Schizosaccharomyces pombe: one gene and its partner. Changing the gene in region 1 together with any one later gene gives a genetic interaction. Each region holds a gene or a part of one and is shown in the gene's direction. Other genes may lie near its edges. The genes, in order: git11 and gpa2.

Region 1 (3,781 bases):
CATTTCGCTTGCAAACAACGTCTCAGGGAAGGGTCTAAATCTGACAAAGCATTGAACTCTTCATTTCTTTCAAGCTCTTGAATCAGACGTTTATGATCCCAGCACGCTAGTGCACAAAGTGAGATATACACTGAAATGTCAGTTTTTGTAATAATACCATCAGAGGTATCAGTTTCAACTTTTAAAAAATGAGCCAGGGCCTCTTCGTAATCACCCAAGCAAAAGTTGGCCAATCCACAGTATGCATAAATAGGACTAGTTAGCTCCATGGCTGCACTAACAGTAGACTTGGCGCGAGACCCGAAGGCTAGTACATGAGAATAATTACCAATCCAAATAGAAATTCTCATTAACTCTAAGGATAAATGAGCAATTTGTCCAGCATTTGTACAATATTCGCGAACTTTGGCATATGATCTTAAAGCACTATCAAACTGGCCCACATCAGCAAAAAAAGAAGCTAAATCTAGTTGTGCCGCCTAAAGTTGTTAGAATTGTAACAAAGGATGTAATAAAAAGTCTGTGAAGCAAAAAGTTATCTTGTAGCTCATACTCTTATAGATTCTCGTATTAAGTTGTTTTTATAGGCTTTTAGTTCCCTTCTTAATTGTTCTAGATTTTGTTTCCTATGAAAAGTAACGCTTTCAACCCATTCTACGTCCAGCTGCTCGTTTTCGAAGCAATCTTGAAACTCCTCGAATAGAGACTGGTACAACTCTAGATTATATGTCTTTTCTTTCAATTCTTTAATGGCATAATGAACACAAAAACTTCTTAACGGCTTAGAATTACGGGCGACAAACAGCGCGCGAAATATTTTGGACCATACTATGAAACTGTGAATAAAAGAATGACTTGCAAAAATGCATCAATTGAAAAACTCTTACCACCATATTCATCCAGATATCTCTTTAATTCTTCCTGATTGACTAGTAGATTTAAGCTCATAATAGAAAACTCGTAACTAGTCGGAACACTGTAGGTTATAGAATTGGCCAACTGGTTATAGGCCAGTGACGAGTACCAGATGTATAAAAGCTATAATAAGATGGTGATTTTTTCAAGTCGAAGATGTATGTAGTTAATTAGTTCTACTTTACGGAAACGAGAAAAACATATCATATTGATTTTATTTCTTTCCCCAAATTTCCAAGCAAAATCGCATCTAAAGTTAGGATATGAGTTTACTATTAATATGAGATACCAAGATTAGAACCCCATGTATTCAATAATAAAAATAAAAAATATGAAAATTGTTGCAAATATCTTTTAACTATTCCCTTGAAACAATGCTCAACTCTAATTAAAGCATTTCCTAATTGAGATTTAAAAAATAAACGAACAAATCTATAGCCAAAGAATTGTTGAAGTCTAAATAAAAAATAATAAATTTTCTTTTAAAAAAAAAGGAAACTTAAGGTGGTTGAATTTACTAATCTACTTCGAGTTATAGGAAGTTTGGTTATGTAACTTCTTTACTTAGAAAATAAGACAACGATAGTAAAGAAATTTACGAGCAGAATTCATAATTTCGTTTTAAAAATCCAATCAACATAAAGTATCTACTTTGTCCTCCCAATGACAAAATCTTTGTATCTGTCACAAGTTTATTGTTTATATGTTTTCGCATTAACAATTATTTTGTTAAGAGAAGTGTAATATATGCGTATTCTACTTGGAAAGAACAAACTAAAGAGATAAAAAAATCCTGAAAGTGAAAGGCATTTGAGTAGTGTCAAATTTACAATTGGAAAACTGCTATTCTATTTTTTTTCCTCTTTTTATATTAGGGAATATAAGGTTAAACAACATAATCAAATAACGATACTTAGTGCGCTTAGAAGCACACCTACATATATGTATGATGAAATGGTCAGGCAAGGCTATAATTTTACTTAACAGGCATTACTTATTGAAATTGTAGTTGATCGGTCCTTAAACAAATGGAAACAGAGGCTTTATTGAATGAAAAAATATCGGTTCAACAAGCAAGACAGGAGTAAGTGTTTTTACAGCAAATTTCATGACGTGAAACAAAAAATGCTTGATTTGATCTCAAAGTTTGAAAAGTTGCTAACTGAACTTTAGATTTGCTAATTATGCAAATAATATACCGGAACCAATGATGGTATCGGTTGCTCCGCCTAAAGCAAATCCGTCAGTCAGTTCGAAGACAAAGCAGCAGCAGCATTTTAAGCCTGGTAAAGCGACGAAGGATAAGGCCACTACCAAATGCTGTACTATTTCCTAATGTTTTGTGGAACGTTGTTTAAGCATCTTACGTGCACTTCCTACCGTCTGTGCTCACCTAGTAATTAACATGAAAGGAGCATTTATTGTCTATTCCTATACCAATCATTAGGATGAGTGATTTATCAGATTGGTAAATTTGTTATTTATACTCTTTATTTTATTTCGTACTATTTCGATTTTACCATAATTATTCTTTTGGACCTTAGTTATCGGAATGGCAATTCGTCAAATAACCGACACAGTGGACCATTTTCTCCTAACTTAATAATTTTCTAATACTGATTCAATCGTTATTTATTCATATAAAATACAATTTTTTGACGAGACTTTCTCATTATCTGAATTTGTTATTCTTTGTTTTCTTCAAAGCAAACAAAACAGCGCTCAGGATAAAAGGTTATGTTCGGGGGATTGTTAACTATTCTATTTTTTTTTGGTTTATTTATATATTTAAAAATTCTAATCTCTTATAACACTTGAAGCTAATAGGATTTATATTTCCTTACTAGCAAATGAATGTAAACTAACTACAGGAAATTCATATGGCCGACTATAGTTGTTTACCTACCCATTTGGTTAATTTTTCCTTAAATATATTTTTTTTTTTTTTTTTTTTTTTTTAGTTTTGGCTTGAATTTTAGTTTACATCAATTCAATAAACATATTCATATCGCAAACCAACAGGTGTGATTAATTCCTAAGGGTCGACAAATAGGCGTTATATGTTTTCTATTTTATTTTTTTTATATGAAAGGAGGAATTTTTAGTATGGACATTTACTTGTTTGTATACTAAACTATTCAAATCTTCAATAATAAAAAGAGCTTATATAATTAGTTGTATATATAAAATTACCTGTGTTACCAGGTAAGCAAGAAGGTCGGGTAGCATAGTTGGTTATTGCGCACGACTGTTAATCGTGAGGTCGAGGGTTCGAGTCCCTCCCTGACCGTATTTTTTTGCATCATGAGCATCTTATACAAAGGATAGACAAACGCACATGGAGTAGTATGTAAAAGCTAAAGTTCGAATTTTGTTGTTGTTTTTGAAATCCATGTCATCATTTTACGGGCGGTTGAATCGCTTTAGGTGTTTACATCGAATTTTGTCAGTGTGCATATGCGTTGTAAATTTGTCAGAAGGTTGTATGATCCGCATACACATTTAATGGATCAATTACAAAGCCGACGAAAAATCAGGGACATTTGTTGTACCTCTTATCAAAAGCGGTAATTTCAAAACACATTATCACTGGAAGGTCCTAAAAAACCAGACGAATCGACAATGCCATAATTTGCGTAGGGTCCGGTATTTGGGATTGAGAGACTTGTCAAACTTTCGGAATTCCGATGTTTTCTTGCTCGTACGTTAAGGAAATGTTGTTGTACTCTATGTGTGTATAGAAAAGTAAATAATAGTTTAACTACAATAATGGGATGGAATCATATTATCATGTATTCTTAGGAAGTTTAGCGCACTAGCCTGTTAGGTAGTGTATTCGAGCCTAGTAGAGGCGGAGTGCCCTATA
Region 2 (5,781 bases), on another chromosome or scaffold:
ATATAGATATTGGACATATTCTCAACCAACTGGCAAAAGAAAAAAATTAGGAAAAAACAAGATTACTCTATATTTTTTCCGTTGTCTTCTAATATTGACTTAGCTAATGATTGATTTATTCAATTATTTTCTTATAATAATTTTTTGAATTAAATTAACATAGTTTTATTTTAAACTGGGAAGCGCATCTTGCTCATAATTCAAATTATTGCCCTAAAACCAACATGAAACAGATCCGGCAAACTAGTTTCCACAATATATCGGGATATATCAAGATATGCAAGATATATAAGATACACATATATAAGAGATATAAGATACATATTCAATAATTGTCAAGGATACCTATAATCAAGCAAAAATTAAACTTACGCAAATAAGAATTTCATCTTTATAAAAAAAAAAAAACCATCAAAAAACAAAACAATATAAAAACCCTCCCACTACATGTGAATATCTTGGAAGACTTTTTTTTATAACTAGTACATGCTTTTATTAGTATGTAATGAATAAATGAACGAACAACAACGGATTGACTTCAGTACCACATAAACATTACGAAACCTAGCTAATTCTATCTCACCTGAAGATTATTTTATTTTAGCGGGGCAAATGCAGTCCTTCCCGAACCTCCAAGACTAAGTAACCAGCAAGTAACGGCATCAGGATATCTTACCATTCTTACCCATTAAATTTAAGGAACCGAATGAAATTAGGAACGATGAGCAGTTTAACAAAGTCCTCCTTATTTTTTTTGCGTTGAAATGTAGTTTGTAGTGTCAAGCTGCTTTGTGCTATTTATCGAGCAATGAGAAATAGGAGAGGAGTTATGGTAGCAGGGTATACTTAGTAATGTTTTCATGGACCAAGCGGGGGAGGGGCGAAAAGCATGTCTAGTTCGCTGTATTCAGTTTCAAGACCCCATTTCATGTTTAACATTTGTTCTAGATACGCAAAAATCCCTTTTTTCTAGATTGTTTGCAAGTCCCCATGTCTTCTTTTTTTTATACAGCTGAAAAATTTTCCGACTGTCAGGTAAAACTGGTCAGTTGCGAAAACATGCTTTGCTTCATCTTGGTACCCAATCGTCTATGGATTTTTTATATGTTTCTTTCTAGCTTTGTGATAGCTGCCCACGCTTTGCGATCAAGTTAGTTGCCTTATCCCTTGTGCACTTTACTTTCATATCTGAGTAAATAAGTCTCCGTAACTGGAATTGAACTTGGTAAAATTGGGGCTTGAAAATTTAAAATATTATGAAAGTGAACAAACTCAGATTGGGAAAACACTCATTAAACATTGCTTGGAAAGATTGCGCGTTTTTTGGAACACTTCCTTTGGTCATCTTTGCTATCCCGATTGCTTGCATCTTCAGCCATAAACAAGGGACGACTCATTGAGTTACTAGAGTAGTAATAGAGCAGTATAGTTTAGTAGTATAGAAATGCTGGACCAACCAGTTAATGACATATAAACATAAAACATAAAAAACTATTTTGATGAGCGGCGCTTCTCTATGCGATACTTACATAGAATGCAAAGCTCACACAGGTCTCAGCTTACTGCCTGCTCCCCTCGCCCAAGGTCATAATCGAAGAGTAAGACTTACACTCCAATCTTCTTTACTTGAATGATGCTTGTTTGGTGGTATGTGTTGGATCCTTTTCCAATGTTACATTTTCCGAACTGTCCTCTCTACCCCACTCGAAAAATTAAAATCGTAAATGGATGATGCATGACGTAGTGCCTCATAAATACAAATTATACCAGAGTTGCCGTCTGTCTTTTTCGAAATAGTATAGACGAAATCACCGCTCAGGTACCAATCTAACCATAGTTGTTAGCTACTTAAGCTGTTTGAAGCATCAAAACGCTTGCCCTTTTGCTGCTGCTTGTTGGATTTAGGGTAGTGTGAATTGAAAGTAAGGATTTAATTGTACACTCGGTTAGTTGGACAGTAGTAAGAATTGAGATATTTTGCCTCTAATTCTTCTTTCTTCCTTGTACAATTCTTAATTTTTTTCTCGTTCATCGAAAGACGACGAGAAATCAATTTTCACGAGTTTCTCATTTGTCGCTGCATCTCTTCAACTGATTTCAGCCTTTTCTTCTTGCCTTAATCAACCTTGGTATTCACTCGTACTCACTGTGTCAATTAGCTAGCCGGCTAGCTTCCGACCTGCGATCCTTCCTCATTCTCCTCCACCCCCTGCTTTTCGAGGCATCTGGTGAAACTCAAAAAAAAGTTGAAATTGCGATTTAAAGGTCGCCCATAAAGGGGGTTAATCAAACTTTGCGCGTATAGTTTAGTGACTGACTAATCAATATTTTGATTATTGATTCCTATTCTGTAATATCCCCTTTTGACACCCGCACCCTTGTTCCTACTTAATCATACTTGCTACCTCAACTTTTTTTTTAATACTTTTATTTATTTGCGTTTCACTTTTCTTTCTAACTTGCTCTCTTTCCATTTTATTATTTAATCTTTGCTTTAATTGGGAAAAGAACTGGATTGAAGGCTTTTCTTGGAAAGTCCTCGCCTCTCTGCTGCTACACCTTACCTACCTGCGTTTAACCTTCTTACTTTGTTTCATATTTATTTCTCCCATCTTATCCCAAAAACCCGCTAGCTGTCGGATTGAGAAGTTTGGTGTCCTACTACATCCCCGTATTTATATTCTGCAGTAGTGGATTAAAAAAAAATGACGATTTTTAATGGATTATCTGAAAGCGGTGAATCAAAAAAATTGAACAGCAAAATCGAAAAGCAGATTGAAAATGCCTCGAAGAAGGATAAAAAGATTTACAAAGTGTTGCTTTTAGGTACGTAAACTACTCAATGTTGTTGTTGTTGTTCAATAGTTATATATGCTTGGGCAGTCGAGCAAAAAAGCAGAAAAGATTGAGAAAAAAAATAAAGAAACGAAATGAGTGAAACTATTTACGAAACAGAGAAACTGTTTAAGAAATGACAGAAAATGGTTTGTCTAATTGCGTCTACGTTCTCTACTCTTGGTTACCCTTTCCCTTCAATACTCAGTCAGTGAAGGTGACTTTGATAACGTTCTTCTAGTTAACCACTTTTCGTCGTCGTTGCATGTTGTAATCAGTTGCTCTACACTCTTACCGTTTCTCTCCATTGCATAGCACAGATTTTTTGTTTGATTCCTATAGCAAATTTTCCTTCCTTTGTTTCTTACAATCGTCAGTCTAACCATTGTTTTCTAGGTGCCTCCGATAGTGGAAAAAGTACCATCAGTAAGCAAATCAAAATTCTCAACAAAAATGGGTTTAGTCAAGAAGAGATTATGACATTTATTCCGGTGATCCGACGAAACCTGTTGGAATCTGCTAAAACCCTTGTTAAAATTATCGTTCAAAAAGGTATCAACTTGGACCCTTTAGGAACCCACAATTGCGAGATAATCGAAAAATTTAATCCAACTCCTGGTGAGCTTATTAATGCTAATATTGGCCAAGCTATTACTAGTCTTTGGTCAGCCAATAGTGTTAGATCCTGTACATATGGAAATGATTCCGTACTCATTGACTCTGCCCCTTACTTTTTTTCGCGAGCCGATGAAATTTGCAGTCGGCATTATGTCCCTACAATAGATGACATTCTCCGGTCTAGAAATAGTACTCTGGGTATTTCGGAAATATCGTTCACATTGGATCATTTGCAAATTCGAATGTTCGACGTTGGTGGTCAAAGAACCGAACGAAGGAAATGGATTTATTGTTTTGAAAATGTGAATTCAATCATATTTTGTGTTTCCTTAAATGATTATGATAAAAAGCTTTATGAAAGAGCCGCCCCAGAACGCAATCGTTTGGTTGAAAGTATTTCTTTATTCGACTCTATTATAAACAGTCAGTGGTTTATGCATTCTTCTATCATTCTGTTTTTGAACAAATTTGATTTGTTTCGGAAGAAACTGGAACATGTTCCGTTCCAGGATTACTTCCCCCAATATGAAGGTAAAAATTCTGTTAAAAGTATTACCCGGTATATTCTTTGGTTATTTGTGAACCCTTCTATAAATCGGGCTAAGCATAATATATATCCTCACATTACCACCGCTGTAGACACATCTAACATAAAGGTTGTCTTTTCTGCCGTTAAGGAAACAATTCTACAACACAGTCTGAAAGAAGCGGGAATGTTTTAATTTTAATTTGAAGATAAAATTTACCCTACCATTATTCATATGTTAACAGAAGACCTCTTACTGTCTGCATATGTCTAGAGAGTTCTGAAGCCTCCTTGTAAGAATCGCTTCTTTTACATTCGTTTATTTTTTTTTTTTAATATTGTCCGGAGTTTATTACACATGTTCTTTAAAAATATTTTTCCAATATATACATTGGCTGCTGGAATCTGAAATCACCGATTTGTCTGTAAGGAAAAGGATCGATCTCCTTTTCAGTTGTCTCAGAACGTTCACAGATTGCTATTAAATAATCTCTTTAAGATGACCAAGTTATACAGTTCTAGTTGATATAAATATTTTGTCATTTTTGCGAATATCAATTTGCATTTAATTTTTTACTTTAAACGATGCTGCTGGCGAATGCTTTTAAAGTTATTGAATACTTTCTGTTGAACATAGTCTTAAGATTGAGAAAGTAGATCTCCAGTTTTGATTCGAACATCTATCTCTGCTTTCAGAACTATTGCTATCACTTAATGCTGCTATTTATGAGGGTCGTAGAAAATCCGTTTGAGTACTAAGAGACTTTGAGTGGATACATGATTTAATCGCTTTTGTTTTAGTATTTAGTTTTTAATTGTTAGACTACTTGTATAGACTATTTCACTGAATCATCAAAATTGTTGTCTCTCTTTGTTGGCACCAGAGACTGATACTTTTTACCGACTTTCAGTATCTTTTCTTTAATATATTAATTTACTAATCAAAAAAGCTATTGAACACGTGTATTTCTGCCATGTATAATAAAAAGCCGCACTGTTCTGTATACGTATCAATTTGATTAAATTAGATAGTAATACTACTACATAGATATTCGTTACCCACTTTTAGCTTCTACTTTAGTATATCCACCCATCTTTGTGTTACTGCAGGTTTATTTATTTCAATATTTATTTTGTAAAAACAATTAAGTACATTCGTTAACTAATTATGAGAATTATTGCACTTCCTTTGCCAAATCAAAGGGTATTCTTACATTGTTATCCTTCTGAATACCTTGCCAAAAAAGTTACTATTCACGACAAAATTATAAACAGAATTTACAAGTATTGGGACTCCTGGAGTGCTTCAAAAAGCTATACCAAACAAAAGGTTGTGTCTTTGGGAAACCGAATTTTGCATGCAACTCCTTATGAAGAAAATTTTTTAAGGGCGATTGCTCCTGTTAAGAAGCTAAATGATACAGAATTACACCAAACTTTGTATATTGAACATCCTCCAAATTTGGAATCAAGTACTATTTTAGCTGAGTTGAATCGGTCCAAACAATTACAAAAGACCCATACAAATTACCTTATTGGTAATATTATTGGATTACCATTGACTATACCTTTCATTCTCATACCTCTAATACCAAATATTCCGGGTTTTTATCTTTGTTATAGAGCATACTGCAATTTTCGTGCTATTCAAGGGTCTATTCAATTAGCTCGGGTAATGAGCATAGAAAACATTCAAATGCAGGAAAGTGAAAAACTAGAAAAAGCATTGAAGTTGTTTACAAATGGAGATGCTACACCATTAAACGCTCTCATAGGCCACCCGGATTTCGTGGACCGCTACA

The links.
Region 2: of git11 (region 1) and gpa2, extra expression of one rescues a mutant of the other (dosage rescue), as found in Schizosaccharomyces pombe (2 studies listed by BioGRID).

Annotation. Positions count from the first base shown.
Region 1 is NC_003423.3:4,028,612-4,032,392, forward strand, and holds git11 (heterotrimeric G protein gamma subunit Git11), read left to right. Parts: upstream 1-1,885; 5' UTR 1,886-1,943; coding exon 1,944-1,999; intron 2,000-2,088; coding exon 2,089-2,251; 3' UTR 2,252-2,961; downstream 2,962-3,781. Other genes in the region: COP9/signalosome complex subunit Csn1, read right to left, coding at 1-479, 554-828, 888-948. UniProt on the Schizosaccharomyces pombe protein: Gamma subunit of the heterotrimeric guanine nucleotide-binding protein (G protein) involved in glucose-induced cAMP signaling.
Region 2 is NC_003424.3:2,515,240-2,521,020, reverse strand, and holds gpa2 (heterotrimeric G protein alpha-2 subunit Gpa2), read left to right. Parts: upstream 1-1,781; 5' UTR 1,782-2,705; coding exon 2,706-2,826; intron 2,827-2,989; exon of another isoform or gene 2,990-3,231; coding exon 3,232-4,175; 3' UTR 4,176-4,968; downstream 4,969-5,781. Other genes in the region: SPOM_SPAC23H3.12C (hydrogen/potassium transport protein), read left to right, coding at 5,148-5,781. UniProt on the Schizosaccharomyces pombe protein: Alpha subunit of the heterotrimeric guanine nucleotide-binding protein (G protein) involved in glucose-induced cAMP signaling.